Linked DNA regions of Arabidopsis thaliana. The protein of the gene in region 3 interacts with the protein of the main gene of each other region in a pairwise test. Each region holds a gene or a part of one and is shown on either strand. Other genes may lie near its edges. The genes, in order: TRX-M4, TFIIIA and AT1G06510.

Region 1 (10,252 bases), on a different chromosome or scaffold from region 3:
TTCACTAAAACTTGAGATTGATTGTTTCTGGTGGTTTTTCGAATGCTACAGTATTTTGAAGACTTTGCGTATGGACATTTCTTCAGCTGTGCTCACGACGTGTTGAAGGCGTGTAATGCTTACAGAAACGGAGCTACACCGGGATATCTGGTGAAGGGGGCTCCAGATGTGGAAGAGAATAGCGCGGGCATGAGCTCTCTGAAGTTTAGGACAGATGTGGCTACCTTTGTGGAGACAGTGCTGTTGAAAGAGTTTATTCTTCTAGGTGTCCTTGGTCTCGAACCGGAAGAAGAAGAAAAAACACCTGAGACTATAATCGTTGCAGAGAGTAGCAAATGTACCAGATCAAGGTCCAAGAGAGACAGAGTTTCTTCTAGTTGATCTCCATTGCTCCCTTTTTTTTGTCCTTAATTTTTCTTAATTTCTGAAGAAACCGGTGACTTAATTAGTTTCTCCCTTCTTACAATCATGGATCCTCTTTTTTTCTCTTAACTATGACATAAATCTTAAAAGACTATTGAGAACTGAGAAGTCACTCTCATATGTACAGTTCCCTTTATCAGTCAGATTTATTATAGCCTCAATTTTCTGAGCTACCAGAGAAGTGAGTAAAAGTCAACGATACAAGGTTTGGATTTTGACTTTTAAGCTTTATTATCCCTCCTAATCAAGACAAAAGATGTGAACCAGATTTACTTTACCGACGTGTTGTTGTACTTTCAACTGAAAATCTAAACTACAGTTCTGAAAAAGAGATACGTAAATGTACACGTGTCTATCCACGTGTCAACTCCTACTAAAAACCCTAAACCCTTCCCTCTCTTTATATTAGCCGTCCTAAACTCTTTATCAGTCCCAGTACACTGCGATCAAAAATGGCTTCAGCTTCATCATCGGCGGCGAGATCACTCATCCGCGACGGAAAATCGTTGACGAATCTATTCCTCCGTGGACGTAAGATCAATCTCACCGAGACAGTACAGAACAATGGACCGGCCATTCGATCTCTGCTTTGTTTTAACCAGATGCCGGCGGCTAGCCAATACCCTGTTTACTCTGAAACTTTTCCGGTTATGAAATCCGGTTTACGTGTCGGCTTCGTTCAGAAGGAGGCCGTTTCGGAGAGAGTAGGGAAAATGGAGGCGGCTCATGGAAAGCGAGTGGTGGACAACAAAGATGCTGATTCAGAGGAGGACACGGATTTTGATGAAGACGAGATTGATGACGTTGACTTTGAAGACGATGAAGATTCTGACGAAGATGATGAGGAAGAGGAGGATGACAAGTACACAAGGAAGAAGAAGTAACTCTTCATTCTTCACAAAATGCTTTCTGTTTTTTGTTTGCTTGAGATTAATGGCTTTAGACATAAACCTTCTTTGATGAAATGGTTCTAAAATGACAATTTCTTCTTCTTTGTCCAGTATATTTTTCTTCACATCCCATTTTAACTATTAAATCTGTGGTTTTGGTTATCAATGATATATGTGACATTCGGGGGAAAGAACAAAAAAATTCTCAAACTGACGAAAATGTTGCAACTATCTCAGTAAACTATTAAAATGGTATCGATTAGACGATGGTGATTAGATTATTATAACATCCCAAATCGAGTTTTGTCTTCTTTTTTTTTTCTCTCAAAACAAGCTCAATACTATTTGGAATCGAGTTTTGAACAAGTTTTCTCTAATTTATGTGATCATAACGCTTAGTAATAGAATCCATATGTATTTATGCAAATCTGTTTTAAGAAAAAAAATTACTCTCCAAAGAAAAGTTAAACTATATATAATATAGACACCCTTTCATAAAGTGATATAAGAGTCCAATCCTCAACCTTAACTAATGAAAAAAGAACATGTCCGTCTTCGTAAATAGAATCGACCTTATAGCAGTGCTGCCTAACCGAATTGGTGCGGTGCTGCCTAACCGAAATCAGATGTGCTGCCTAACCGAAATCAAATTTGATAGTCGGTCTACTAAAACAATTGACGGTTTACAGGAGTCCTCTAAACGTTGTCGTTATCTCAAAGGAAAGAATGACGTGGCGAGGATAAAATCGCATTCGCCTCTGTGTGTGTTCTCAAGTCATTCAAATTGTCACCCGTATCTGCCAAAAACCCTCTAACCACTCAAAAAAATATCTCTGCTCTGCTCCAATGGCGTCGTTACTCGATTCCGTCACCGTGACCCGCGTGTTTTCTCTGCCGATTGCGGCTTCGGTCTCGTCTTCTTCAGCTGCTCCGTCGGTTTCACGACGCCGGATTTCTCCCGCCAGGTTTCTGGAATTCAGAGGTTTGAAGTCTTCGCGGAGTTTGGTGACTCAGTCGGCCAGTCTGGGTGCGAATCGTAGAACCAGAATCGCTCGCGGTGGACGAATCGCCTGTGAGGCTCAGGACACCACTGCCGCCGCCGTCGAAGGTAACTTCAGTTTTCTTATAGTACAACTCGTAGATCTGAACCTTAAATCAGTGAGGATTCAACTTCATCATCTATATAATTACTTGGATTGTTAGTCTTTAGTATTATCTGATTTAGTTCTCTAAAACTAGGATTCATAGGGAGTGGATTCTGATAAAACATTGTAGTCAACGTTATTGAATACTCAACTTCTTCATCTATCAAGTTGTTGTATGATCAAACCAGGATTGATTATACAAATTGATAGCAAAGATACTCTGTGATAAGATTTTAGCATATGGTTTAAATAACTCAAGAAAGAACCAGAGTCTTGTTGGCATTGAGCATTGATGTGCTCTGTATACTATTTCACAGAACGGTTCTCTCTGATAGTTGCATAATTTCAATCACCATTGAGATATATCTAACTAGTTTGTTTGATGTTGCAGTACCAAATCTGTCTGATTCAGAATGGCAAACAAAGGTTCTGGAATCAGATGTCCCAGTTCTGGTCGAGTTCTGGGCACCATGGTGTGGACCTTGCCGTATGATTCACCCCATAGTTGACCAGCTAGCCAAAGATTTCGCAGGGAAGTTCAAATTCTACAAAATCAACACTGACGAGAGCCCAAATACAGCAAACCGTTACGGGATACGAAGCGTTCCAACAGTAATCATCTTCAAAGGCGGTGAGAAGAAAGATAGCATCATTGGAGCTGTGCCTAGAGAGACGTTGGAGAAAACTATAGAAAGATTCTTGGTCGAGTAACAAAATTTGACTCTTTTGTCACTCTGAACCATTTTACCTTATCTTCTCTCTTGTAATCTCTGTAAAGTCTTTTAAGTTTTTGACTATTATGTTATCGTGGGTCCTCTTTGTCTTCTTCAATAAAAAAAATGGAAACAAAGTAATCCACCGACGCATGAGAAGCATAACTCCACGTTGAACCACATGCCATTGTTCTTCCTAATTCACCGTACAATCTATATACATACATATGTTTTGAGTAATGTAGGCTTCCGTACTGTTTCATTCTGTGTACTGCATAGGACATATATTAATACCACGAGGGGGTCTATGTAATCTTATATTATATCATGTATGTTTTCGATTTCTAATCCAATTATGTGAGTATATACTATGTGGCATGTCCAAGCCATGTCTTTACTAAACGATCAGGAGAAAACGCGTTTCGTTTTTAAATCAGTTTAGTTGGATTCCCATATTTAATCTCGGATTACACAGGTCATTTCGCGACTAAAACTTAGGAAACTTAGATCTCAAATTCCCAACCTTTGATAGCACCGAATAATTAAGATACGAAATCCTGAACTAAATATACAGCTAGATATCGAAAACGTTTGTCAACTCTGCCATTCTCTTCCATCATTTTCCTCTCGGAACCAAATGTTAGTTACAGTCAGATTACAAGGCAGTTCAATCTCTAACCAGAGCTAAAAATATCATTATCTTGTAGTATTTCAAATACTAGTATTTTGTTATGGGTAATTCTCCTCAGAAACTAAAATGTTGTTACTTAATATGCTTCTATATGGACATATCAAAAATATTTTTCATTAACTACTTCACCAAAAAATAGCTATATGACATTAAAGTGTTTTAGTATTTCAACTAGGAAATTATGTTCCCCTGTGTTTAGACCTATATTCAATTATTATAGAATTTTCAAGAGCAATAAAAAAAGAAAGATCCAACTAAGAAAGATAACGAACACATGCATGAGATTGTGGTGCATGTAAGTGAAAATAAGTCGTAATAATCACCGACAAAACGCGTTAATACTTATTATAGATCCTTATAAAACGAGTCCAAATGTCTTCCTTCTTCTTCAAGCAAATAAGCAATCAATTGTGAACTCAAAGCTTTCTTTTCTCGACCTCTCTTTCTTTCATCACGAAAAATTTATACTTATCTCAAATAAAATAAAAATATATATATATGGATATGAAGGGAACATACTTAGTAACGGTTATTCTCTTGGTTAGTACGTTAAGTGTGGGGATGTGTTCTAACGGTTGGATAAGAGCTCATGCAACGTATTATGGTGTCAATGATAGCCCTGCTTCACTTGGTAAAAAGGCCATTAAACTATTGTTTAATATACGTTTTTGTTACTTCAAAGTTTGTATGGTAAATTTGTTTTTTAGATACAATTTTATAGGAGGAGCTTGTGGGTATGACAATCCGTACCACGCCGGATTCGGAGCACACACGGCGGCGCTAAGCGGTGAGCTATTCAGAAGCGGTGAGTCATGCGGTGGGTGCTACCAGGTGAGGTGCGACTTTCCGGCGGATCCTAAGTGGTGTCTCCGAGGAGCCGCCGTGACGGTGACGGCTACAAACTTTTGCCCAACGAATAACAATAATGGTTGGTGCAATCTCCCTCGCCATCACTTTGACATGTCCTCCCCCGCTTTCTTCCGCATTGCCCGTCGCGGCAATGAAGGCATCGTCCCCGTCTTCTATCGCCGGTAACTTATTCGATGCTATAGGAGTCAATTGCTTTTTTATGCATATAGTGTTCATCCTTTTTGATAAGTTAATAAACTGAAACTATACATTAAAGTATATTTTGGAGTTTTTTTTTTTTCTTTTTAAAATGTAAGGTAGAGAACATTATACAACCCTATCATTATTTTAAGTTATTAACATTATTGTTTAATTTATTTCATCTACATATCATTATTTTGCTATAATGATCATTAGCAAGCTAGGTCATTATATATTATAGCAAAATTTATAAGGAAAGAATGGATGAAGTTTAGATCAACATCACATTATAACATGTACATATACGTACGCTCACAAACAGAAAAAAAAAAAACAAAAACAAGGCCAATCCTTCAAAAGAATCTGGAAAAAGGTTTAAATGGACTTTAGTTAAATAAAAATATAGCATGTAATTACTGTGATATTTATGCAAAATATCTAATAGTTTTGTAATGTGTATATATAGGGTGGGATGCAAAAGAAGAGGAGGCGTGAGGTTCACGATGAGAGGGCAAGGTAACTTCAATATGGTAATGATCTCAAACGTTGGTGGTGGCGGCTCGGTGAGATCAGTAGCGGTGAGAGGCTCAAAGGGAAAGACTTGGCTTCAGATGACCCGTAATTGGGGTGCCAACTGGCAGAGCTCCGGTGATCTCCGGGGACAGAGACTCTCCTTCAAAGTTACTCTGACGGACAGCAAAACGCAGACATTTTTGAACGTTGTCCCTTCTTCTTGGTGGTTTGGCCAAACCTTCTCTTCTCGAGGAAGACAATTCGTTTAACTACAAAACTAAGTCGTGCTCTGGTCAAAACGCAATTCTTTGCTTATTTCTGAACTTGCCCTTGTTTTAATTGGGCAGTGTTCCTTTGTTTCTCTTTTATTGCTAAATAATTTCATGCTTAATTTTATTTAACGGAACGGTTTCTCATTTATGTATGAAGCATTACTCGACAAGTTAAAGAGTTTTGCAGAATTTATATTAATGGAAATAACATTTTTTACAAGTTCATTTGTCAACAAAATTATCAGAGCTAATAGACACCATGAAAAAAGACTATTATCAGATAAAAGCTTCATAAAACACAGATTAGTATATAAATGTAATGTTACATGCTAGCTTTAATTGAAAAAGAACGACATTGTCAGGTACGTAACTTGAAATAACTCTTTATCTTCTTTTTTTTGTCAATGAAATAATTCTTTCTATAAAATAATAATAATAATAATAATAATAATAATTCTTTCTTACATAAAGATAAAATAAATATATAAAAACTATAATAAATAAAACAGAGCAATAAATATATAAAAACAATTTTTAAAAAACAAGGTGCTGGCCCATGCTTTTTAAAAAACAATCTGTTGATTTTTCAAATACAAACTAAATATACTTAGAAAGTTAATTAAATATCACTAAAACCTACTTTTGGGAAGGTTATTAAAAATTTCCCTCCAACTTGGGAAGAATGTTTGTGAGAGATTAACAAAAAATAGATGAAGGTTTCACACCACATTCAGTTCCTTATCAACAGATTGATGTGAGCTTTTAATGAATAAAAAGCTGTTTTCTTTTTGTCATCAATTTCTTCTATACATAACTCTGGTCCATTTTTTATTCATGTTTTAATAATATAACAAAGAAAAAGTGGAATCATTGTATTTTTAATGAAGTGGATGGCGTTACAGTTGCAGTCTTGCAGATCTCAAAGAGAATAAGAACAAAAAAAAGCTTGATTTTAAAATCTATTCAAAAAACAGAACAAAGATTTTTAAATTAGGTTTAATACTAGGATTAAAGGAACCATTTAAAAATGGTCATAAGAAATCTCAAAGCCCATAAGAACCAGACATGGATTCTTTTCATGTGCCATGGATGATATAAGATTGAACAGAAACCATTTAATTTTATCTTTTACCAAAAAGAAAATAACTTTTAAACAGAAAAAGACATAAATACCCTTCAAGTGCTTTCACACTCTCTTCTCGAACAATGAACACAGAGAAAGAGAGAGAGAGAAGACACTTAGTAAAGAAGGTCTGTGTGCTGTTCTCTCCGAAATTCCTTTTTTTGGTCTCGAGGGTTTTTCAGACTGTGAAGAGACATAGCTGTGGCAAAGATGAGAGGACCTTTAGGAGCAGTGATTGGAAGATATACTTCAAGTGATGGGAGTGCTCCAAATGATGGGATCATCAAGCACAATAGAAAGTGCAGAGATATTACGTTTCTCATCATCTTCATTGCCTTTTGGGTTTCAATGATTGTCAATTCCAGCTTTGGTTTCAACCAAGGCAACCCATTAAGGTAATGGTTTTTGCTCCAAATCTCTTTGGACAAACAAAGCGTCCTAGAACCTTAAATGTTTTGCTAATCTTGCTTGATTTTACCTTTTATTATACCAAAGTTTGTACCTTTATATCTGTATTATAAGGTTCCTACTTTTCTTCTGCTTGGTGTTCTTTAGTTAAGAGATTTGGTGTGAACTCAATTTATAGAACATAGTTGTGCTAATTTGTTCAGTGAATTGTGCTGTGTTAATCAAATATCGTTTTTGAGTGGTGATGTCTTATATGAACTGTTATTGCAGACTCACATATGGATTGGACTATGAAGGGAATGTGTGTGGTAGCAAGCATCGTCACCGTGACCTTACTCAACTTGAGCTTAGATATTGGTTAAACCCTAACCAAGTTTATGAAAGTGGTTTGAAAGATGGGGAACTTAAATTGGCTAATGCTAGAACTATTTGTCTCTTGGATTGCCCTGCACCTTCTGATGATACTCTCAACTGGGTATGTGACTATCCTGACGGCGAGATTCGTCTCAAGATGAATGATTGGATCGATAGGAACTATGATTATTTTGAGTTTCTTACTCCAGAAATGAGGAATTCCTCTCTTCAGCTTCAGGGTCCTTGTTACCCTGTAATATTCCCTAGTGTGAATGGTAAGAGGCACACAAAGCTTATTCTTATTTTCTATTCTATTGCTTTTTTGTAACAAGGTTTGTTCTTTTGATTCTTTAGTTTATTGGAGCTGCCAATATATTGCTCGTGCTTCAAATTCATCCTTACGCCACTGGCAGCAGATGGGTGGTGTTAATATTCAAGAGGACATGATCATAGACAAATCAATTAGAAGGTCAATGAACTCTCGTGCCTCAGTTCTAAAGGTTAGAAGGATCCTCTTCTCTATTGACATGTAAACATTTCTTTGTAAAGTGATGATTTTTGAAGAATGCTCTAAGCTTTTTTGTTGGTTGTCAATCGTAGCGTTATGTGGCTGATATTGGGAAGTCATGGCCAGTATTGATCGTTTGTGGAGGCCTTGTTCCACTGTTTCTATCCATTATTTGGCTGCTTCTTATTCGACATTTTGTTGCCGCCATGCCCTGGATAACTGTTGTCCTTTTCAACATGCTCTTAATATCAGTCACAGTGTTCTATTACCTGAAAGGTTGGTTAGGAAATCATATTTCTATTGTATGTCTCTATGTTTCAAGTCATATGGACTCAATATACTTATTACACTTTTATATCTTTTGTAGCTGGATGGATTGGGAATGATGCTGTAACACCTATTATTGGTGAGCATGACCCATACTTTCATGTGTATGGTCGAGTAAGTTTACATTCTCAGCCTTAAGCTGCTTTCACATTCACTAAATTATGAGACCATTAGTCCCATTTTCTTCCAAGCTTATTTACATTTGCTGCTTATTCCTCAGGAACTGACTCATGTTCGTGGAGTTGCCATTCTGATGACTTTTATCTCTGTTGTTGCTATTCTCACTTCAATTGCCATTATCCGCCGAATTCTCATGGCAACATCAGTCCTCAAGGCGAGTATTACTTTCTTAGTCACTTGGTGACCAGTTTGGTTTATGCTAGAAAGGTCATTTTGCTGTATACTTGTGAAATCCAGGTAGCTGCTAAAGTAATTGGAGAAGTTCAAGCGCTTATTATATTCCCGGCTATACCGTTCGCGATGCTAGCAATATTCTATATGTTCTGGATATCAGCGGCTCTCCATCTCTTCAGTTCTGGTCAAGTTGTTCAGAACAACTGCAACAACACTAACTGCTGTGCGTATGATCTCGTGTTAAAGAAAGTTAATTGTGACCGTTGTTGCGGTTATAGCATACATTACACCCCTCACATCACCATTGCTATATTCTTCCACCTGTTTGGTTGCTATTGGGCTACACAGTTCTTCATTGCATCTTCTGCGACAGTGATTGCTGGCTCTGTTGCCTCCTATTATTGGGCTCAAGGGGAAGCATCGGTAAGCTAAACAATTCTGAGCAAATATATGAAACTGTAGATTATTATTATGTGTTGATTCTGGTTTTATGGTTGAACAATTCAGCCAGAGATACCGTTTCTTCCTGTTTTCGCATCAATGAAGCGGCTTGCACGCTACAACCTAGGATCCGTGGCTCTTGGTTCACTCATTGTCTCTTTTGTTGAGTCTGTTCGGTTCATTCTCGAAGCAATTCGTCGTAAAACAAAAGTAAGCGGGACCATACCTGATCACTGGTTTTGGAGAATGGCTCATTACACTTCACGTGGTTGTCTCAAAAGTGTGGAGTGGACCATCAAATCGGTTAACCGTAATGCCTACATAATGGTAACAGAAAATCTCCTTCTTTTAGATCCCATTCTTTGAACCATTTCTTGATAGATTGTCTGTCTCTCGGTCTCTTTTCAGATTGCTATAACAGGGAAAAGCTTCTGCAAATCGTCTGCAATCGCGACAGAGCTGATCATAAGCAACATTCTGAGGATAGGGAAAGTTAATGTGATAGGAGATGTTATATTGTTTCTAGGAAAGCTTTGTGTGAGTCTCTTCAGTGCTCTCTTTGGCTTCTTGATGTTGGATTCGCACCGATATCGTGCTTCTCACAACAAAGTCTCATCCCCGCTATTACCTGTTTTGGTAAAATCCTTTTCCTTGCTCTCTAGACTCAATTGTAAATACAAAGACAGATGTTTTTTTTTTTAGCTTAAATAGGTTTGCTTGCTTGTGACTCTCTCTATGCACAGGCATGTTGGGCATTGGGGTATATTGTGGCAACACTTTTCTTTGCGGTGGTTGAGATGTCGATAGACACCATCATTCTCTCCTTCTGTCAAGACTCAGAGGAGAATCAAGGGAATGCTCAGCACGCACCACCTCTTCTGCTTGAAACTTTAGATAGCAATCAGGAGGAAGAGGTTCAGAGTCTTACTCACTGATAGATCCATACTGTATAAGTTTTGTTTCTTCTTTGGTTGGCCGGTTTATATGGTTTTTTAAAATAGAATCTTTTATCTCTACAACATTCTAAGCATATTGTAATG
Region 2 (10,784 bases), about 25 Mb from region 3:
AAAGTTTCCATATCCTGGAAGCTCCGGTCTAGGAGTAGATCAACGGAAGCTGACGTGGAGCCGCTTCCCGGTGTTCCTACGGTGCGCGTCGACGGAGTCGTTAACGAGTTTGACTCAGAATAATGCGGCGGAGATAGAGTTGAAGTATCTGGTGAGTCAACACGGGTGGGACGTGAGGAGATTGAATAGAGACGACGAGGATGAGATCAGGAGAGTGTCTCTTGTTCAAGCCGAAGCTTTCCACATCCCTCTTGCTCTTTTTGATGATTTTTTCTTCATGTTTTTTCAGGTTTGTTTATTTTTCATTCTCATATATGATTTACATTGAAGATTATTGTTTTGATGTATATGAAGATTTTGATAATATGTAATACAGGCAGAGGTTCTATCAGCACTTCTTTACAAACTAAAGAATTCACCACCTGACAGGTAAAACAAATAACATAACATAATTTCTTTAAGACTAGTTTTTAAATGTGATTAATTATAAAAGTTTTAAGAATTTGGCAGATATGCATGTCTCGTGGCGGAGCAAACAAGTGAAACTGAAACTTTGTCGAGCTCAAGTGTTGTCGGAGTAGTTGATGTAACAGCTCAAACTGAAAGTTCAGTACTTCGCTATTTTCCGGGCGTCGAAGAATATCTATACGTCTCGGGTTTAGCTGTCTCAAAATCTCAAAGGAGAAAGAAGATGGCAAGTACATTGTTAAAGGCATGTGATGTTTTGTGTTACTTGTGGGGTTTCAAGCTTCTTGCTCTAAGAGCTTATGAAGACGATGCAGCTGCTAGAAATCTTTACTCGAATGCCGGCTACAGTGTGGTCGAGACTGACCCGTTGTGGACCTCTACTTGGATAGGCAGAAAACGTCGCGTTCTTATGAGTAAACGCTTTTCTTAGGCGTTTTCTTCATGTACATTTTGGTTAAAACAATAAACACACTACCATCTAATTGGATACAGAGTAAATGTGCAGAAACATGAACTGAACTGAAATTTTAGACGACCAACAAGATTTCAAGAAACAAATTATCCAGAGACCAAACTTTTATACAAAAGGGTTAAACTAAACGGTGGCACGACCATGTTTTGTTTCTACATCTAAGATGGACAAAAGCGGCAGCAAACGTTTTTTTCCTAAATAAACGATATAAAAGCCGATCGAAACTATTGACATTCAATAACCTGACACGCTCCCTTGGAGCCAACAAAAACAGAGTCAGTGAATGGACAGTCACGCAGACGGTCTAGTGAGGAGTGACTTGAGATCTAGAGGCGGGAGATCTAATCCCGGGACATGATTGCCTGCTGGTCCCATCCAGAGACCTCCATTCTGATGTGGTAGCAGTACCGGCGACTGACTGTTGCTCTTCTCTGTAGATGTTTCTTGCTTCTTCTTCACAAACTCAAAGAACTCAGCGACCTGGCGTGCATACCTTTTAACAACATCAATCAAGAAAGTATCTATTAGATTTATGATTCCAAATAAGTTATGGTGACATTACAGTAGTGTGAGCACTTACTGTGTCTTTGCTTCAATATCCCGGCTGAAGTCGATATTGGGTTCACAGTCCAAAACCAGAGCAGGGACCTGTTACAACCAATGAACCAGTCTAAGCAAAATCTATCTTCAGACTTTTAGCACAAAGAATGCAAAAAAGAGATAAGTTTACCTTCTGGATACTAGAATGCATATGATTTCCTTCCAAGTAAAAGACACGGTCCTTTATATCAGGATGCAGAGAGTTGTCCATGTGTAAAGATGGTCTACTAACAGACAATACACCATGGTTTCCGCTCTCAAAGGGAAGCAGCCAGCTCTCGTGCTTCTCGTGCAAATCTTGGAGGTATTTCAGAGAGACTCCGCCTTCTTCTGCTCGTTTCCTGAGCATCATTCGCTTGTGGCAAGTGTCTGGACTCGCCCTTAAGTATATAAACCCATCAGGAACAAGTCCAGGTAAAGAAGAGACAACCGGATCAAACCAAGAGTCGTAAATGCTGATCTCCATCTCATTCATCCATTTCGCTTCATGAACCGCACGCACAAACACCTAAACACCAAATTCCACAACATATTAAGTTTCCAATCACACATTTCAAACTATAAATTTTAATAACGTTGGCTTTAAAATTACCATTCGGTCACTGAAGACACTCCTTTCCATCAACCTGAGAGGTTTAACCCCAGAAGCAGACTCTTTCTCCTGCATCAGCCGAGTGACAAACACATAGTTCTGGAAAGTATAAGCATACCTCTGAGGCTCAGAGTAGAAAGCATCCAATATATTGAAATGGTCAGGTCCAACATCTTGCCACTTATCAACTGGCTCAGGAACAATCTCAACAAGGTCTTGTAACTCAACAGTCTCATTCGCTATCCTCTGAAGAAAAGTTGATTTACCAACACTGATGTTCCCTTCAACACAAAACGTCAAACGTTTCTTCACATTTAGATTAGGTTCAGGGCCAGAATCCTTAAGCTCATCATCCACACTCTCTTTAATAAACGTTGTTATACTCTCCGCATGGTTTCTATGTATAATCCCAACAGAGCTCCTAAGATAATCAACCATCTTCTGACTAGCCTTCCAAAACTGAGATTACAAATCAACCAACCAAAAATAAAGATTGAAACTTTCAATACTTGTCTCAAAACCCGCAAGTTAAAAATTGAAGATTCAAAAGTACCTTATCCTTATAAAGCTTCTTGAGCTCTGCAACATCACCAATCCCATTATCAACAAGCTTTCTCTGATTCCTTAAACCAACTCCAGGAATCTTCAGCAAATCTGGATTACCAACAAACTCACCACTTCCACTAGAGCTCCGGTTTCTACGGTTCATCCTCACAGGCTTCTCATCTTTCTCCTCGTCTTCATCTTCTCCGTCAGACTCTTCCTCGCTTTCAACCACTGCTCCAGCAGTAGCATTAACCGGGGTTAAACCACCAGTAGAGTCTGAACAAAACAACGCACGCCAAGACCCAGTTCGACCAACCCAAGCCCGGTTCGTACCGTCAATTGAACACCGGCAAGTCCGGTAACCAGCTGTTGAGAACCGAACAGACGCCGGTGCCGGTTTATGAACAGTCCTCTGTAGATAAGCAGAGAAACCAACACCGCCTGAAGAAACAGAAGCCGTTGTGGTCGGCATAGCGGAAGTAGAGAAGAAACAAGTGGAGAGAGGTTTAGTAGTAGAACAAGGAGGGAGATTTTTAACGGGGGTCTTAAACCCTAGAGAGATAAAACCGGCGGCGAGAGAGTTCACCGGCGTAGAGAGAACAGGGGTTGAAGAAGTGGTACTTTTGCACAGAATCTTCTGCATCGTTTCCGTTTACACGAGCATTTCACATCACTCAGAGAAATAGAAACCCTAGTTTCAGAGAGAGAAGGGGATAACAAAAAAGAGGGCTTTTGTGTGGGTTTTGGTTTGGCGCAAAGACAGAGGAAGAAGAAGAGAGAAAGTTGCGTTTTAGGGTTTTTAATTTTATTGATTAAAATCATTAATTTCAATTTTGTGGTGTGGTTAATTATTTAATTAATTAGAAGATATGATTATGGGATTAATACGTTTTTTAATAAATCGTTATGGGGAAAAAATGTTAAAAAATGGTGATGTGTCCTGTCCTTGAGGTGTTATTTGTCATCTTTACGAAGTTGTGTAGCACACATGACACGTGCGGATAACAAATAAGTACATAATCATTTTTTTATTGTTTAAAAAAACGCTTGTTTTTGAATTGGACTGGTTTTTTATTTGGGCCTACCCTTTGTTAAAACGATGACCTAATTGAGCTTATCGACTGTAAATTTTTCAAAAATGTTACAGATGCAGGGCCCATTAGATTTAATGGACCGATTGTGACGTTTCAAATTTGTTCCCTTTTTTCCTGGCACAAGTCTAACTTTTCGTTTTGCAAAGATCCCTTGTCTATTTTCTACTCGATTTTGCAAATTTGTTGTAATTCTAATTTAAATTTGTTATATGGGCTTGAAAGGCCCATTATACAATTAGAAGCCCAAGTGTTCTAGGTTAGATTTCTCACTCCCGGAAAAAAGAAGCTGATATATAAATGGCCATTGTTACTTCAGCTTCTACTGTGCGGCGTCTTGATGGAGGAGATAAACCCTAGTTCTTCTGTAGACAATAAGAGAGACATGGCGGAAGAAGCTAAAGTTGATGTGAAGACTTCGGCGAAGAAGGATATACGCAATTATCTATGCCAGTATTGCGGAATCAGCAGATCTAAAAACTATCTCATCACTAAACACATCCAATCTCATCATCAGGTTTGAGATCTTCCTCCAATTCGATTCCAATTTCTCATCCGTGGCATCTTGATTTGTTTTCAATGAAATTGAGAGTTGAGTCTGTAGAATCGGCGATGGTTTGTTGAATTGAGAGTTTCTATGATTCGTTTGTTTAGATGGAACTTGAAGAGGAAAGAGATGATGAAGCTTGTGAGGTTGATGAGGAGTCTTCAAGTAATCATACTTGTCAAGAATGTGGTGCTGAGTTTAAGAAACCTGCTCACTTGAAGCAGCATATGCAGAGTCATTCGCTCGAGGTAGATTTATGCATCCTCTTGTCATGAGAAGTCGAATTGTTCCCATTCTGTGTGTTGCAGCTACAGATGGAGATACATAGAGATACTCGTGGATTTTGCTTAGTGTTGAGTTTTGTTCTGGTTGTGAACTAAAAGTTTATACATTTGCAGGAAATAAATAGCCTTTTGTTTAAATCAAAAGGTCTTACCTATGTTATTGCGTGAGGCATTGGATCCCAAAGAGAGAACTCCAAAATGCGAGGCTACATGTTATGGACTAGTATCAGGTTGGGAGACCTCCTGAGAAGCTCCAGCAAGTAAGCCTCGATCACGCAAAATGTTTGAGGTCTGATGTTCAATAGCTTGTTTTGTTTCACTTTGCTTTGGACTTTCTTTTCGCCAATGAGCTATGTTTCTGATGGTTTTCACTCTTTTGGTGTGTAGAGATCTTTTACTTGCTATGTGGATGATTGTGCTGCTAGCTATAGGAGGAAGGATCATCTCAATAGGCATCTTCTTACACATAAAGGGAAGCTCTTTAAGTGTCCGAAGGAGAACTGCAAGAGTGAATTCTCAGTACAGGGAAATGTTGGTAGGCATGTTAAGAAATATCATAGTAATGACAACCGTGATAAGGACAATACTGGTTTGGGCGATGGTGATAAGGACAATACTTGTAAGGGGGATGATGATAAGGAAAAATCTGGTAGTGGCGGTTGTGAGAAGGAAAATGAAGGGAATGGCGGAAGTGGTAAGGACAATAATGGTAATGGCGATTCTCAGCCTGCGGAGTGTTCAACTGGTCAGAAGCAGGTTGTCTGCAAAGAAATTGGTTGTGGAAAAGCCTTTAAGTATCCTTCACAGCTTCAAAAGCATCAGGATTCTCATGGTAAGTGCACCTTCCTACCCTTACTTTCCCTCTAGTTTAGTATCCTGGGCATATGAAGATTTCTACGTTTCCTCTCTATGTGCTTTGTTATAAATTAAAGACAGTTGTTTGTTAAAGCTTGATAGATTTTCAATCTCTGAAGGTTTAGATTTACATTTGCAGTGAAATTAGACTCTGTGGAGGCATTTTGTTCCGAGCCTGGGTGTATGAAGTACTTTACCAACGAAGAATGCCTCAAGTCACACATAAGATCCTGTCATCAGCACATCAACTGTGAGATATGTGGTTCTAAGCATTTGAAAAAGAACATCAAGAGACATCTACGGACTCATGATGAAGATTCCTCACCAGGAGAAATCAAGTGTGAAGTTGAGGGTTGCTCTTCGACTTTCTCCAAGGTAAAGAAACATCCTGAGCTACGTCAAACTTATATAGTCCAAAACAAGTTTCGTTTCCAGATTATTCAACATCACTAATTACATTACGATTATTTCTCAGGCTTCTAATCTTCAGAAACACATGAAAGCAGTGCACGATGATATACGTCCCTTTGTCTGTGGCTTTCCCGGTTGTGGCATGAGATTTGCTTACAAACATGTCAGAAACAAGCACGAGAATTCCGGGTATCACGTATATACCTGCGTAAGTTCATCCAACCTACATACTATCGTGTTTTTCTTACAAACTCAAAAGACTAGAATCTCATGTAAAACTGAATGTGGTTTCAGGGTGATTTTGTCGAAACTGATGAAGATTTCACTTCAAGACCGAGAGGTGGACTAAAGAGGAAACAAGTTACTGCGGAAATGCTGGTACGAAAGAGAGTCATGCCTCCTCGGTTTGATGCAGAAGAACACGAAACTTGCTAGTAGTGTCCAAGCCTTAATTATATTTTCTGTCTTAAGATAAGTGAAGTAGTTTTGTGTAAAGTTCTTTTTGTTTGTGTGTTGGTAGGAAGAAATATAGAACTACAATAGTAGGTAGTAATATAAGTAATGTTGTGCTTAGAATCTATGTTCGTTTAACCTTTTATCTCCCACGGCTTTAATGTATTGAACCCAACGTTTGAGATATAAGTAATGTTGTGCTTATAATCTATGTTCGTTTAACCTTTTTATCTCCCACGGCTTTGATGTCTTGAACCAATGTTTTTAAAACTGACCCAAACAGTGAACCGGACTACCTTTTGGGTAAATATTAATAGAGATTTTACAATTTTTATAAATAGAAAACAAAATAATCATATTATGTTTAATAGAAAACAAAATAATCATATCATGTTTAATAAAAAAATATAAAATCATATTATGTTTGATAAAATATAAAATCATTTACACCAAAAAAACATATATATATATATATAAAATCAAACAATAATAAGAAAGTGATTAAAAATTTTAAATTCAACTAAATGTCTAACATCGTAACAAATATAATAGAAGATCACTAATGATAGAAACAAATTAATGAAATATCGTGAATTCAAACAACTAATCTCATTTGCATATATCACCATTCGATTCATTTTTAAGGCCGCATTGTGAAATCTTCACCAAAATCTAAAACATCAAATGAGTTTAAGAACTAAAAAAACTTATAAAAATAATTGAAGAAAGTTTAAAATCCCACATTTTATTCCAAAATGAAGAGAATTTTTTAAAACCCACATCCGGCCGGTTCAACCGATTCACCGGGTCATGGATTAATGGCGAATTTTTGTGGGTTTTTTCGGTTTTGAATTTGTCGGGTTTTAGCACTAAACCCAAACCGGAAAAGTGTTCGGGTCACGAGTTAACTGGTCGGACCGGGCGGTTCGGGTCGGGCGTGAAAACACTGTCTTGAACCCAACATTTGAAGATAAGCTTTATGGGATGAGATAAACTCCAATATTCAAGTCTCTCTTTGCGTCTCATATTCAAACTGTAATGAGATAACATTTCATTACAGTTTCAAGATAAGCTTTTGGATGAGATAATGATCTCTTAGTGGTTTAGTCAAAGTAAACAAGACTTTGACTGTTCAACTTCAACCCAATCAAGAGTCAACGGTCGGAGTTATTCAAAACACTAGTTTTTGAATTTAGTAGCTTCATCTATATATAACCCAGGAGAAGCAGAAATCTTCCAAGAAAGAAATGGTTACATACAAGATTTGGGTGATGTCTTTCATCATAGCAGGTTCAACTTATAAAAAAGGAATTCCTCTCCTCAATTTGGTTAGCAATTACACAATCAGAAATTTAATCAAATTTTGTGTTTCATTGTTTTGAAAAATCCACTAGGAGCTATTTTAGGAGGAATAATCCCTGGAGTTACTACAACAAAGACAGCGATCGCGTGTCCTCTCTATTGCTTACAAGTAGAGTACATGACATGTCCTTCCTCCGGCGCTGACAAGCTTCCTCCAAGATGCAACTGTTGTCTTGCTCCCAAAAATTGTACTCTCCATCTCTCTGATTCTACTACTATCCATTGTAGCAAATGATATATATCTAGTAAGAAATACCTGATGGTATCCCTCCTTCGAATCCCATCCATTCCTCCCACTCATCGATTTCACCCATTTCTGTAATCTCCATTTCTTCTTCTTCTTTCTTAAACTTTTGCATCAAACACTGAAAATGTGATTAATATAAGGAAAATGGTTTCAATTACGTTTTACCATGGCTAATATTAAACACCACATATTCAAAAAGTTAAAGATAAGAAAGAATCAAAATCAGAAAAGCAAACAAAATACGGGTTTGTATTTTTTATTCTTAACTTAGAAATTTTTTGTCCAAAACCAAAAAAAAACTTAAATAATCCAAAAAAAATCAAGAAATCAGAAAAACATTTTTTTGTTTTACCTCGTAAGCGGATTTGATCTCCTTGAAATCTTTGTCCTGACCCTTGTGAACATCTGGATGATACTGCAATAACTCATTTTGTCTTATTTAGTTATAATCCTTCTTTTTATTTTCTTGATTTGATTCGTCAAAAGGTTTTGAACTTTCTTTTAAAAAAAAATTAAAAGCGTAATAAGACGCAAAAGGGACAAACAAGAATTAACAACCTTTAGAGCGAGACGTTTAAAGGCACGTTTGACTTCGGTTTGGGAAGCGAGAGGAGTCAAGCCAAGAACCGTGTAATGGCTAAGATCTGGTGATAAACAACATCTTGTCGGAAACTGGATTAACCGGCGGCTATCAGTTTGGATGGTGGAACCAGGGTGATTCGTCGGAGCTTTGAACCGGAAATTTCGTATCATCGTTTCTTCTTCTTCTTCTTCACCAACCAAACATTTTAGGTTTATAACAAATCTTTTTTTCTTTCCCTTTTTGTGGGACTTTGGTGAAGGACCCTTTTTTATCTTGTACCCGACGGTATGGTCTATTGGATATCCTATTATCCGATTCACATTCCGATGTCATGTCGGTGTTTATTTATTTATTTTTATATTTATGTGTTCCTTTGTTCTCGGTTTTGTTACTAGCTAGGACGATATAACATTATATGTGTTAAAACCTATATTGTTTTGTGTAAACTATATTCTGATTTAAAAATTAAATTTCGTCCCATAAAAAGATTGAATCCGAGATACTTAAATCAACTTCATGATATTAATTATCTCTAATCTACCCACCCTTTTTTTTAATGTATTTCTCACAATAACCATAAGTAAATTTACCGATAATATGCACATGTGCTGAGGTGAATTGTGACAACTATGAGATATTTTTCTCCAAATTTATAAAATTTCCAACAAAACAATTATATGAAATTTCGCCATATAGAAGTTAATTTCATAACAATAATCCCACATTATTCTTTTAAAAAAATGAAAAATAAAATGCATAATCCAACATTGTTCCAAATTTTATCCAGAGAAAAAAGGAAAGACAACATTGGTACTCTTTTTTTTTGTCTAAAAACATGTTGAAATCGTCGTCCGCTCCTCCCGTTTTAGAAGCCTGAAAGATTCATAAAATTATAGGTCACGATCACAAACTATAACAAGTTGTTTTTACATATAATAATAATTTGAATATAAAAGTTAAGGTTTATACTAACCGAGATAAAACATCGATGGAATTGGGAGTTTATCCAATAAACTACGGATATCGTCCTCATCTTCTAAGATCTCTTCGTCAGTTTTAGGAGGAACTGAAGATTTACCAATAAAGAATCAAACAATAACATTTTTGTCAAGTACGCTAAGTAACAAAAATAGTATAGTTTAACGTTCTCACCTGTTTCATCAATTTTACAATCACTCTCTATGTTATTAACTGCCACAACGTTGTCGTTGGCATCAGTACCATTCTGTAGAAAAAAAAAGAAAAAATTAAGTTTTATCCATACAAATTATATATTTTCATGTGCATATTTACACTACTATCTTAATATTTATCGAAAATAATAAATATATTAGGTAGATAAATACGTGAAAACATTAAATTAGTTATTTTCATTTGTAAAGCACCTCTCTGTTAATTATGGTAGATGGTGGTTCAATTTGCATGGTCAAATGATCCTGTAAAAGAAGAAAACATACACGTTATACATTTTCATGCATATTAACAATATATAGCTTAATATTTATCAAAATATATATAGAGTAATGGATATATACATTAAAAATGTTAAATTAAACTCTTGAGTTTGTAAAGCACCTCTGTGTTAAGTGTTGTAGTGGGTGGTTCACGACCACCATTGCTATGGCTGGGACTACGACTACGGCTACGATTTCGTCCACGTCCACGTCCACGCCCACGTCCACGGCCACGGCCACGGCCACGCCCACGCCCACGTCCACGACCACGACTACGACTACCATCATCATCACCAGCACGTCTTTCCTGTACACCGAAGCATGGGTTTTAGGATATAATATACACATATACTAACTTAGGATTTAAAATTTTCAAAGAACTATGTTAATGAAACACCTCTGTGTTAATTATGGTAGAGGGTGATTCAATTTGCATGGTCAAATGTTCCTGTAAAAGAAGAAAACATACATGTTATACATTTTCATGCATATTTACAATATATAACTTAATATTTATCAAAAATTTATGTAGAATAATGGATATATACATTAAAAATGTTAAATTAGACTTTTGAGTTTGTAATGCACCTCTGTGTTAATTGTTGCAAAGGGTGGTTCACGACCACCATTGCTATGGCTGGGACTACGACTACGCCTACGGCTTCGTCCACGTCCACGCCCACGCCCACCATTGCTAGGGCTTTGGTTATCATCACGACCACGACTACGATTACGATTATTACCACCACGTCTTCCCTGTACACATAAGCATGCATTTTATGATATTGATCGATAGTATACAAATACATATACTTACTA
Region 3 (9,954 bases):
TACGGAATCACGAATGCATATGGATTGCGTGGTTTATATAATGTGTCTAAATATTGAAAGGTATAAGCAAAATTTATGTAAACTACATTTACTTTAGTAAAAGTCACGTTTACAATGGATAAAAAAACAAATAAAAAGGATAAATTATCATCGAATTTTCGAACATACAAGAGTTGCAGTACATTGGAAGATTTAATGATGTTTGGTTGTAATTGTTATGGTTGCAGACAGAGAGATATGTTAGTTTCTTCTGACATCGATATGTTGGTAATTAATTTATCTCACTAAGTTTGGTCCAATTAATTAGCGAAACTAATGAGCATGTATAGGTTAGGTTGGACTAATTGTATATATTATGATTTTGAACTGTACTTGCATTGCAGAAGTTGTCGCTGGCTTTAAGATTTGAAGTTCGGTAGTGACTTGTCTCATTTATTCGTAAATGTCATGTCTATTGGTTATAAACTTATAATCAATGCTCGTACGGAAAACAAGTGTTAGCCGATGTCAAACGAAGAAAAAAAATAAAGTTGGATTAATTTTCTTAGCAACATGTGTTTTCTCCTTGAGTAATTCCAATGTCAAGAAATTTGCATTTCCGATTACAAATACAAACAAACATTTCCATCTATTCACAATAGTTTTTTAAAAAATCGTGTTGCCATAGATATTGTAAACGTTTGTTTGGATGCACTAATTACGATCATTCAATATTTTCATAAGAGCAACACAACTTGTTTTAAAAAGTCAAATTTTCAGTTTCATTCTTTCAGATGATGTGTGATGATAATAAAGATCTCCTCATTTACGTCAACAAAGTTTACTCAAAAAGGAAAAAAAAAACATAGCACATTGAAAAGTATGCAAATTTGTATAAAGAAGAGCCTGTCACCAACTACGTAACCTAACTTGTTAAAGCTCTTCCATATCTTGGAGTTGGCAGAAAAAAGTGCAATCTTTGAAACTTGAGGGAAAATCAACCTATAAAACATGCGCGTTAAATGATTGACAAAAAAAATACAAAAAAACAATAACATGCGCGTTAATTCTAAGTAATCCTGTTCACATATGGTTGTGTTCCTGAAGACATTTGGTTAGATTCGAGAAATATATTAGTTTTGTAATCTGCGATTAGGTTAGGATCAAATTAACTGCTATCCACTATGAAAGTATATATATGGATAACGGTTGACTTATTGAGACTACGTTATACCTTTTCGTTGATAAAATTATTATGTTTATCTGGGATAAGAAGACATTTTGTCTTAAAGATAATGGCAAATATTTTCTTTTCTTTTTTCTTCTAACTGATATGTTTTTGAATGATTGTAGTGTAATAGATTAGTATGGTTGACGTGATTTATATAAGTAAGGAAAAAAACCCAAATGAAAGATTTTTCAATTACATGATTGAATTTTCTAACCTACTTCCTCTCTGAAGATATGATAGTCAAAATATTCATAACTTTTTGTGATAATAATAATTGAAATTCTTAAAAAGAGCTTAACTAAACAAATTATATAAAACTAAATACTTAAACCTAATGATGAAAGTAAGTTTCATATTTTTTTTTGTGGCCTAGGGCAATTGCTTTTTTTAATTTATTTTTGCTAACACATGCAGCATGGCTCTGCCCCAAAGCCCTCCAAGTGGAAGCTGAGAAAGCAACGCAACAACATTCAACAGTTTTAATAAAGCGGCCAACTTGCATCATTCACAACATAATACTAGAAAGTGTCTTGCGTACTTGCGTAGCCGATAATTAATAACCTTGGACTATACGGTACTAGCTTTATTATATTTATGTGTGTACTATAAGGTAATGTATTGTTTCATTCTTTATATATATATCTTGAATTTACGTATGCTAAATATGTATAATCATCAAAACCATAACTTCTTGGGAACAAACAAAAACACACATTCTAATTTCAAGTGTAGATTAGATAAAAACTTTATAGACGTTGTGTCGTTGAGTTAATGCGAGAGAGATGTGTGGGTTAACCAAAATTAAAATAGAAAAGAAGAAGTTAATTTAAAAGCAAATTTTTTTAAAAAGGGTCAACCTTCACACCACCTTTGCACTCGCCTATCATCATCACTCACTTATATAAACCTCCTCTGTTACTTCTTTGTCTTCTCCAACACATTTACTTTTCTTCTTCTTCTCTCTCTACGCCATAGCTATGGTTTTACCAGAGCTTCTCGTGATTCTAGCAGAATGGGTTCTTTACCGTCTTCTTGCTAAATCATGTTACAGAGCTGCTAGAAAGCTCAGAGGCTATGGTTTCCAGTTAAAAAATCTCCTAAGCCTCTCCAAAACACAATCTCTACACAACAATTCTCAGCATCATCTTCATAACCATCATCAACAAAATCACCCTAACCAAACCCTTCAAGATTCTCTAGACCCTCTGTTCCCAAGCCTTACAAAATACCAAGAACTTCTTCTAGACAAAAACAGAGCATGCTCTGTTTCGTCTGATCATTATCGTGATACCTTTTTCTGCGATATCGATGGTGTTTTATTAAGACAACATTCGAGCAAACACTTCCACACGTTCTTCCCTTACTTCATGCTCGTGGCTTTTGAAGGAGGATCGATCATCAGAGCGATCCTTCTCTTGCTCTCCTGTTCTTTCCTTTGGACTCTGCAACAAGAAACCAAACTCAGAGTTCTCTCTTTCATAACCTTCTCTGGTCTTAGAGTCAAAGACATGGACAATGTTTCTAGATCGGTTCTACCAAAATTCTTCCTCGAGAACTTGAATATCCAAGTTTACGACATCTGGGCTCGAACTGAGTACTCCAAAGTTGTGTTCACGAGCTTGCCGCAAGTGCTGGTGGAGAGGTTCCTCAGAGAACATCTCAACGCTGATGATGTGATTGGGACTAAACTGCAAGAAATAAAAGTCATGGGAAGGAAATTCTACACAGGCCTAGCTTCTGGTTCTGGTTTCGTCCTGAAACATAAATCAGCTGAAGACTACTTTTTTGATAGCAAGAAGAAGCCTGCACTTGGAATTGGAAGCTCTTCAAGCCCACAAGATCACATCTTCATCTCCATTTGCAAAGTAATTTCCTTTCCTTCTTAAAGTTACTAACTTTCAATTTTGTTTAAGTTTTCTACAAGGTCATATCTGTTACTTTTCAAATTTCACAAAAATAGATTAAAGTTTAGAACGTCTTCTTTTGTTCTGAATCTCCCACACAGGAAGCTTATTTTTGGAATGAAGAAGAGTCCATGAGCAAGAACAACGCATTGCCTAGAGAAAGATACCCAAAGCCACTGATATTCCACGACGGGAGATTGGCTTTCTTGCCAACACCATTAGCTACATTAGCCATGTTCATATGGCTCCCTATCGGATTTTTACTCGCTGTCTTCAGGATCTCGGTAGGAGTCTTTCTTCCTTACCATGTAGCCAATTTCTTGGCTTCTATGTCCGGTGTTAGGATCACTTTCAAGACCCATAATTTGAATAACGGTCGTCCAGAGAAAGGTAATAGTGGAGTCTTGTATGTATGCAACCATAGGACCCTCCTCGACCCAGTTTTCCTCACCACTTCGCTGGGCAAGCCCTTGACCGCGGTTACTTACAGCCTAAGCAAGTTCTCCGAGTTCATAGCACCTCTCAAGACGGTTAGCCTTAAAAGAGATAGGAAGAAAGACGGTGAGGCAATGCAGAGACTATTAAGCAAAGGAGATCTAGTGGTTTGTCCGGAGGGAACCACATGTAGAGAGCCTTATCTACTAAGGTTCAGTCCTTTGTTCGCTGAGTTAACTGAAGACATTGTTCCCGTGGCTGTAGATGCTCGAGTGAGCATGTTCTATGGGACAACTGCGAGCGGGCTCAAGTGTTTAGACCCTATCTTCTTCCTCATGAACCCTAGGCCGGTTTATTGTCTTGAGATTTTAAAGAAGTTGCCAAAAGAGATGACTTGTGCAGGAGGCAAGTCAAGCTTTGAAGTTGCGAATTTCATACAGGGAGAACTTGCTAGGGTTTTGGGATTTGAATGCACTAATCTCACAAGGAGGGATAAGTACTTGGTTCTTGCTGGAAATGAAGGCATTGTCAGATAAACTATTCCGAATTTTCATTAGTTTTTTTGTTTGTTTGAAAAGCTAAATATTATTGTTATTTCAGGACTTAGATGTTTAATTCTATATGGTTGATTCATTGGCATCATTTCTATTTCTTATCACTCGGGACCATTGATATGTATTGAAAATGTTTGCTTTATATGATTTTGTTTCTGGATTTGTATAGTCCATAATCTCAACCTGTCGCTTTAGTGCCATTAATTTTATTCCTAGAACAAATGAAATGATTTCAGAGTTAGTTGAAATCAATATTAATTGTATACATCTAATCTAATAGTATGTTATTCACTTATTATTTACTTAATGATGCTCCTAAGTATTGATATCACATTAATAATCATGATCCCATATCACAACAACATTAACGTGAACGACCATATTAACTTCATATCACATCAAAATTTAATGTATCACCTTAGAAGATATTAATATTCACACCAAGAAAATGACTATACCTGTCTAAACAGAATGATTAAAGAAAGGAAAATTGCTAGATTAACTTTTCATACCAAGAGTGGCTTCCTTTCTTTAGTTCACTGCGCTGGTAAGTAATGCTTGAAGCACACTAACTGATGTTTGCCTCTTTGCAAATGATATTTGCGATTCTACACAAGCAAAACAAAACTTAATGGACTGAGTAATTCTGCAGTGTTAGAAGTAAAACTTAGTGATGCTTTGAATGCATTACCTTTCCCTCACACGACGAATCTCTTCAAGAATTTCTGCAGTCTGCTGAACCTTAAGATTCTTGGGTTTATCTTCATGATTAAGCACCAAGGATGCAACATTTACAACAGTAACTAGTTCAGCTTCGATTCTGCTAAGTTTCTGGTCTAAATTTTCCAAGAAAGATTCATAAGAAGACACTTCTTTCAGGATGCTACCTATTGAAACATCTTCTAGTACATTATTATTGGTATCAAGAAGTTCTTGGTAATCCTCAACATTCCTTTCAATAAGTTGAATTCCCTCAGAATCCAAGTGAGTGTGGTCATTTTCGACCCCGTCTTCAGTAGATTCGGGCTTTGGCGATACAATGTGGATACCACCTGAAGTATTCTCTCCATCCTCTTCGAGATCCAAAGATATATTGCCTATCAGCTGTGTTTCCTTGACAGATATTGCCTGAAACCAAACCAAGCTTTCAAGACATAGTTAGATAGATTTCTGGGGCAATTGAAAACAAACAAACAACCAAAACAATAACATTTCTTAACAAGTAAGAGTATTGTTTGTTTGTACCTCGTTAAGTTTGGAAGAAAGCGTATCGAGCAACTCGATACGAGCTTTAGCCTTGTCCAAAGCTTGCATAACTTTTTTCTTCTGAAGAAGTAGATCTCTGGCATCATTCTCTTTCCCTGTTCGAACATTGACAGCTGCTTGTTCCCGTAGATTCTCTGCAGCCTCAGATAATCTCAAAAGTCTCAACCTATTACTGTTTGCTGGACCAACAACAACAAAGACCAAAAATAAATCAAATTGACATCATCAATCACTGGATTCACAAGCAGTAAAACCATGCTGAAACCAGCACCTCATCTTTCCAAAGTCTACGACTTTGAAATCACACATTAAAACGAAGATTAGCGAATAAAGATTCCACCTTTGGCACGAGTGGACTCTGCCTCCGCGTGAAGCCGATCAAGCTGGGAGCGAAGAAGGTCAGAATTTGCGGTGGCAGAGAAGCATCTCAGGCTCGTTGGAATCCTCCGAGACTGAGCAATCACCACCGGAACTCCGCCGATGGTCGTCGTCACCATGTTTGGTCTTCTTACAAAGCGCACACGTTCTGTGACATTGCAGTCTCCGTTATCCGGTTAGTTCTACAAACCGATTTTGAATACCTGGTTCATCTAAACCGGTAATTAAGACTAAACCGGGGTGGGAAAATGAATTGAGGATGAGATTAGTATTTACCGTGACAGAGTTTTCCAACTTTGACGTCTCCGTCAAAATTTGATTTCTCTTCTGTATTTGACGACGACACTTCAATCAAAATCTGGAGTCAGATACAGTTCCCTAGATCGAGAATCTCCAGGCGCTTTGTAATCCTGTTTAGTATATCTTTGTCAAGTTCTCTGTCAGAGATTTACCGGGTAAATTTTGAATCTTGGATCAGGTTTTTGTCAATTTCAGATTTGTAATCTCCCGCTTCTTACTGTAGGAATCGATCAGAAGATATGAACTGGGTTCAACGCAAAATCTACCTTTATAATGTCACATTCGGGCTCTACATGCTTGATTGGTGGGAACGATACCTCTTCAGTATCCTTTTTTCCTCACTCTATCCCTCCATGCTTCATTCGTTCTCTCCATCGATTTTGGTTTATCTGTGCTCCAATTTCGATTTACCCTTTCATTAGAAAGATGCAAGTTTTGATTTTTACATCTTTGGTGATATATGGTGGCATTGTGTTCTGTTCTCTTGTGTTGTCGTCTTAAGCATTGTGTCTGTTCAATTTTAGAATTTTGTTTTTAAAAAGCTACTTTCTTAAAATTTTGTCTTCAACTTCAGAGTTTGGATTATAGTCTCTACTGAATAATATACTGTCAATTGAGATAATTTTTTGCTAGTTTACAAGGACTTAAGATCTTTGCTTGCATCTTCTTTGCCTTTCCTCAACTCTTTTCAGATTCTTTGGTGGTTGTTTTGATGTGGTTCGTTTTATACAACGGTACTCGCTACTTTTCGGAGCTTTTCCAGAGGTAAAACACTTGATGATGCTCTTTGCGCACACCTTAAGCTTGTTAAGGTTTCCTTGACACTAATTTTGCTATTGTTGTAACAATTTTTGGTACTTATCTAGTTCTTTTTGCTACTTTGGTCTTATGGTTTCATTAGCGGGTTTCTAAGTGATGAGTGTTATGATACAATATGCTGTTTGGCCTCATCTTCATCTCTGAAACAAGTTTCACGGTTTCCCATGATTCGTAGTATATGTTTTCACAAAAGGATAAGTCCATCATTTACTTAAACATTATCCTACCTTCTCTTGTGCATTTAGTTAGGGTAGATATTAAGCCTCCCCAGAAGGTGATTGGATTGGAGTTAGAGAAGTCTTTAGTTTGCCTGATGGACTTACTGCTGCTGCTTGCTATCTGAATCTTATTATGCTGATTGTTCGAAACTTTTGAGAAGCAATTGAAGCTCTTTCATGATAATTTCTTGTATCCTCGCATTGCAGGCATTTGACATGAAAACATGTCTTGTTTCTCGCACAGTAGAGCACGAAAAGCCTAGATCATCCAAAGGCATGTACGTTTGGTTCCAATTTCTGAGACGTATACCAGCAAAAATCCCTCTTTCGGCGTCACCTCTGTTTTTGTTAATTTTCCTCCAAAGGCTCTAGGACAGTTCTTATGTCTCTATATTATTTGTTCCCATGTTTTTGCAATTAACAGAAATGATTTTGTAGACTCGTAAGATCGCAAGTCTTCCTGTTGTATTTCCAGTTCACTTAGAGACATAATAACATAGTTGCAGGAGTTAATGAACTTGCGGATTACATATAACAGAGCATAATTTTTAAGAGGGAGCTCTGTTCTAAATCTACAAACGAACTTAGGAAGAATCAGGGGTAACCCAATCCTTTGGCATTGCAGAGTTGAAGATCTGAAACAGCAAAGCTTGATCTCTCTTGCCTGGTCTTTTTGAACCAAATCCTTGATGCAGACCAAGTTCAACCGCTTCTCTTCCTTCTTCCGCTATTCTTTTCCTAATAGCTACCAAAGAATTTTGCGTCTCATCACAAGCTGCTACATGTCCATTTTCAGTGTTCTCTCCTCCACCATCTTCTCGTCCGCCTTTCTCTGCCCTTCCCCACCATTTGTTTGACACAGTTGTTAACCCGCCTGATGGGAATCCAAATTTGAACTCATCTACAGCTGCCACTGTCTTTGCCAAGTTAGTATTAGCCCATACATTTGACTTGCCACTCTTGTTTCCCCCATGCTGCACCGTCGAATGCATCATCGTGTGTGTGTCCTCGGGTTCAGATTATGTTACGAACCACTGTAATTAAAAGAATCATGAATCAAAGGGAAAGAAAAACGATACTAGTAAGCACCAGTTTTAACCATTATATCAAGAAGAAGACTTGAATGTTTTCTTTTTGAACAAAACCAAACCACACAGAGAAGAGGGTCTCGCAAATATCAACAGTACAAAGACATAATACAGGAACGTTGCTACATCTGTGAATTAGACCCAGAAGCCTCTAGAATCAAAACATAGAGGCTCAATACTTCCTGGAATCAATGTGTAAGGAACTAGATCTGGAATTAGACAGCCTAGATAACAGTTCCCTAAACGACTCAAACGTTATGAATTTCAGAAAAGTCCAGACCTTTTCCAATTTTCATCTGTATAACATACCCAATTGTGGCACTAAAACCCTAATTTCATGCGTCTGATAAAACTCTCTGCATTGAATCGAAGATTACCTTCTTCTTTTTTCAGAGAGCGTCCTCTTTGGCGTACCCTAGAGCGAAAACAAACAATCCAAACAAGGAAAATAAGAAAAGCCTAGAGCTTTAGATGAAGTATCAAAGTATAAAACACTCGGTAGAGAAACCAATCTTCAGATTTTCGCAAATAGATAACAGAGGCAATGCATACATACCAAAAAGGAGCTTCCTTTGGTCTATATGGATTTTCTGACTTTCTCAGTGATCTTCTTCAATAGTTGGTTTTAAGATGTTTTAGAACAGTGACAAGGATCGAAGTGTAATTTCCACTGACCTCAATACATTGTTTAATCATATAAAAGAGACAACGAAAAAAAGAAGAATAGAGTGACACATCTTTTGTTACATAGACAGATTAATAATGGTTAAAGGTATTTGTATCATGTTCAAGTCCAAAGGTAATAATGGTTAAAGGTATTTGTATCATGTTCAAGTCCAAAGGACTCTTCCGTATGGCCTAGGCTGAAGAACAACATTTACTATGAGTATGAGGTCTTCTCTCAGTCTCAGGTGGTCTAAACATTTTTTCTATTTTCTCAAAGACATATCTAGTAAACAGTAATAACAGATGAAAAAGAATGGAGATGAAAGAAAAATTGGACAAGAAGAAGAAGAAGAGAGCGGTTTGAGCCTCACTACTTGGTGGAAGGTGTCTCTTTGTCTTTCTTTCCGGCGAGAATCATAGAGATCTGCAGACCGCGACTGAAGGCTTGATTAAACAGTAATCTAGTTTGGAACTCAGACACAAATGGGAACCACGATAAGACAGCAATGGGTGTGAATATCACAAGCCCCATTATATACTCGTAAGCTCTCCCTAGCTCTTTCACCGAGTCCCAGAATCCTAATCCTTTGAACACGCTACGCAGCGCTTGCCCGATCTTCAAAACATAGCAACGGATTACAAACTTATTTTTCTCATGGAAAGAACAGATTATTTATGGGCAGTTAAGAAAGTTGTGTGGGCTTACAAGAAGAATAGCCCAGCCAGTAGGTAAGAAAGCGAGGATGGAGGCAAAGAGATCCGAGATCGTGAGGCCGCAGACGACAAATAATACAGTCATGACTGACAAGAAACCAAGGAAGAGAAGTGCCTTGAGAATCCTGAACATAACCTGAAAATCTGTACCAAACTTCCGTCTACCCATTGATACCATCTGTCAAATGATTAAACGACACAATCATAAATGTCAAGAGACAAACAAAACCTTTTCCTAAAACCTCAAAGACTATCTAATAGAGTTGGCTGAAGATTCTTTTCTGGTTTTGATGTGGGTAAAAGCTTAAAACAGATTAGTTTCAGGGCCTTACCTTTAGCACGAGAAGAACTGACAACAAGATAGCCCAAGAGAGTCCATAAACCTTAGAGAAGAAAAGGGCA

The links.
Region 1: the proteins of AT1G06510 (region 3) and TRX-M4 interact in a two-hybrid assay, tested with the Arabidopsis thaliana proteins (one large-scale study listed by BioGRID).
Region 2: the proteins of AT1G06510 (region 3) and TFIIIA interact in a two-hybrid assay, tested with the Arabidopsis thaliana proteins (one large-scale study listed by BioGRID).

What each region holds. Positions count from the first base shown.
Region 1 is NC_003074.8:5,186,289-5,196,540, forward strand, and holds TRX-M4 (thioredoxin M-type 4), read left to right. Parts: upstream 1-1,952; 5' UTR 1,953-2,159; coding exon 2,160-2,421; intron 2,422-2,849; coding exon 2,850-3,169; 3' UTR 3,170-3,548; downstream 3,549-10,252. Other genes in the region: UBC25 (ubiquitin-conjugating enzyme 25), read left to right, coding at 52-381; AT3G15357 (phosphopantothenoylcysteine decarboxylase subunit), read left to right, coding at 876-1,307; EXPA12 (expansin 12), read left to right, coding at 4,361-4,893, 5,379-5,694; AT3G15380 (Plasma-membrane choline transporter family protein), read left to right, coding at 7,031-7,215, 7,499-7,857, 7,937-8,082, 8,183-8,366, 8,458-8,531, 8,638-8,751, 8,835-9,194, 9,279-9,539 and 2 more.
Region 2 is NC_003070.9:27,110,928-27,121,711, forward strand, and holds TFIIIA (transcription factor IIIA), read left to right. Parts: upstream 1-4,093; 5' UTR 4,094-4,109; coding exon 4,110-4,286; intron 4,287-4,423; coding exon 4,424-4,564; intron 4,565-4,714; exon of another isoform or gene 4,715-4,880; coding exon of another isoform or gene 4,881-4,889; intron 4,890-4,987; coding exon 4,988-5,432; intron 5,433-5,594; coding exon 5,595-5,830; intron 5,831-5,930; coding exon 5,931-6,074; coding exon of another isoform or gene 6,075-6,160; coding exon 6,161-6,301; 3' UTR 6,302-6,582; downstream 6,583-10,784. Other genes in the region: AT1G72030 (Acyl-CoA N-acyltransferases (NAT) superfamily protein), read left to right, coding at 1-289, 377-429, 511-898; dNK (P-loop containing nucleoside triphosphate hydrolases superfamily protein), read right to left, coding at 1,232-1,433, 1,521-1,588, 1,671-2,048, 2,133-2,591, 2,686-3,321; AT1G72060 (serine-type endopeptidase inhibitor), read left to right, coding at 7,567-7,609, 7,714-7,916; AT1G72070 (Chaperone DnaJ-domain superfamily protein), read right to left, coding at 7,924-8,046, 8,281-8,343, 8,487-8,681; AT1G72080 (uncharacterized protein), read right to left, coding at 9,377-9,384, 9,485-9,577, 9,664-9,736, 9,897-9,947, 10,087-10,272, 10,363-10,413, 10,554-10,721. UniProt on the Arabidopsis thaliana protein: Essential protein. Isoform 1 is a transcription activator the binds both 5S rDNA and 5S rRNA and stimulates the transcription of 5S rRNA gene. Isoform 1 regulates 5S rRNA levels during development.
Region 3 is NC_003070.9:1,988,301-1,998,254, reverse strand, and holds AT1G06510 (forkhead-associated domain protein), read right to left. Parts: upstream 6,027-9,954; 5' UTR 5,867-6,026; coding exon 5,710-5,866; intron 5,549-5,709; coding exon 5,349-5,548; intron 5,232-5,348; coding exon 4,795-5,231; intron 4,712-4,794; coding exon 4,672-4,711; 3' UTR 4,414-4,671; downstream 1-4,413. Other genes in the region: GPAT1 (glycerol-3-phosphate acyltransferase 1), read left to right, coding at 2,188-3,075, 3,216-4,085; AT1G06515 (transmembrane protein, putative (DUF3317)), read left to right, coding at 6,287-6,371, 6,740-6,812, 7,292-7,304; AT1G06500 (uncharacterized protein), read right to left, coding at 7,669-8,079; CalS7 (glucan synthase-like 7), read right to left, coding at 8,960-9,035, 9,210-9,454, 9,545-9,730, 9,885-9,935.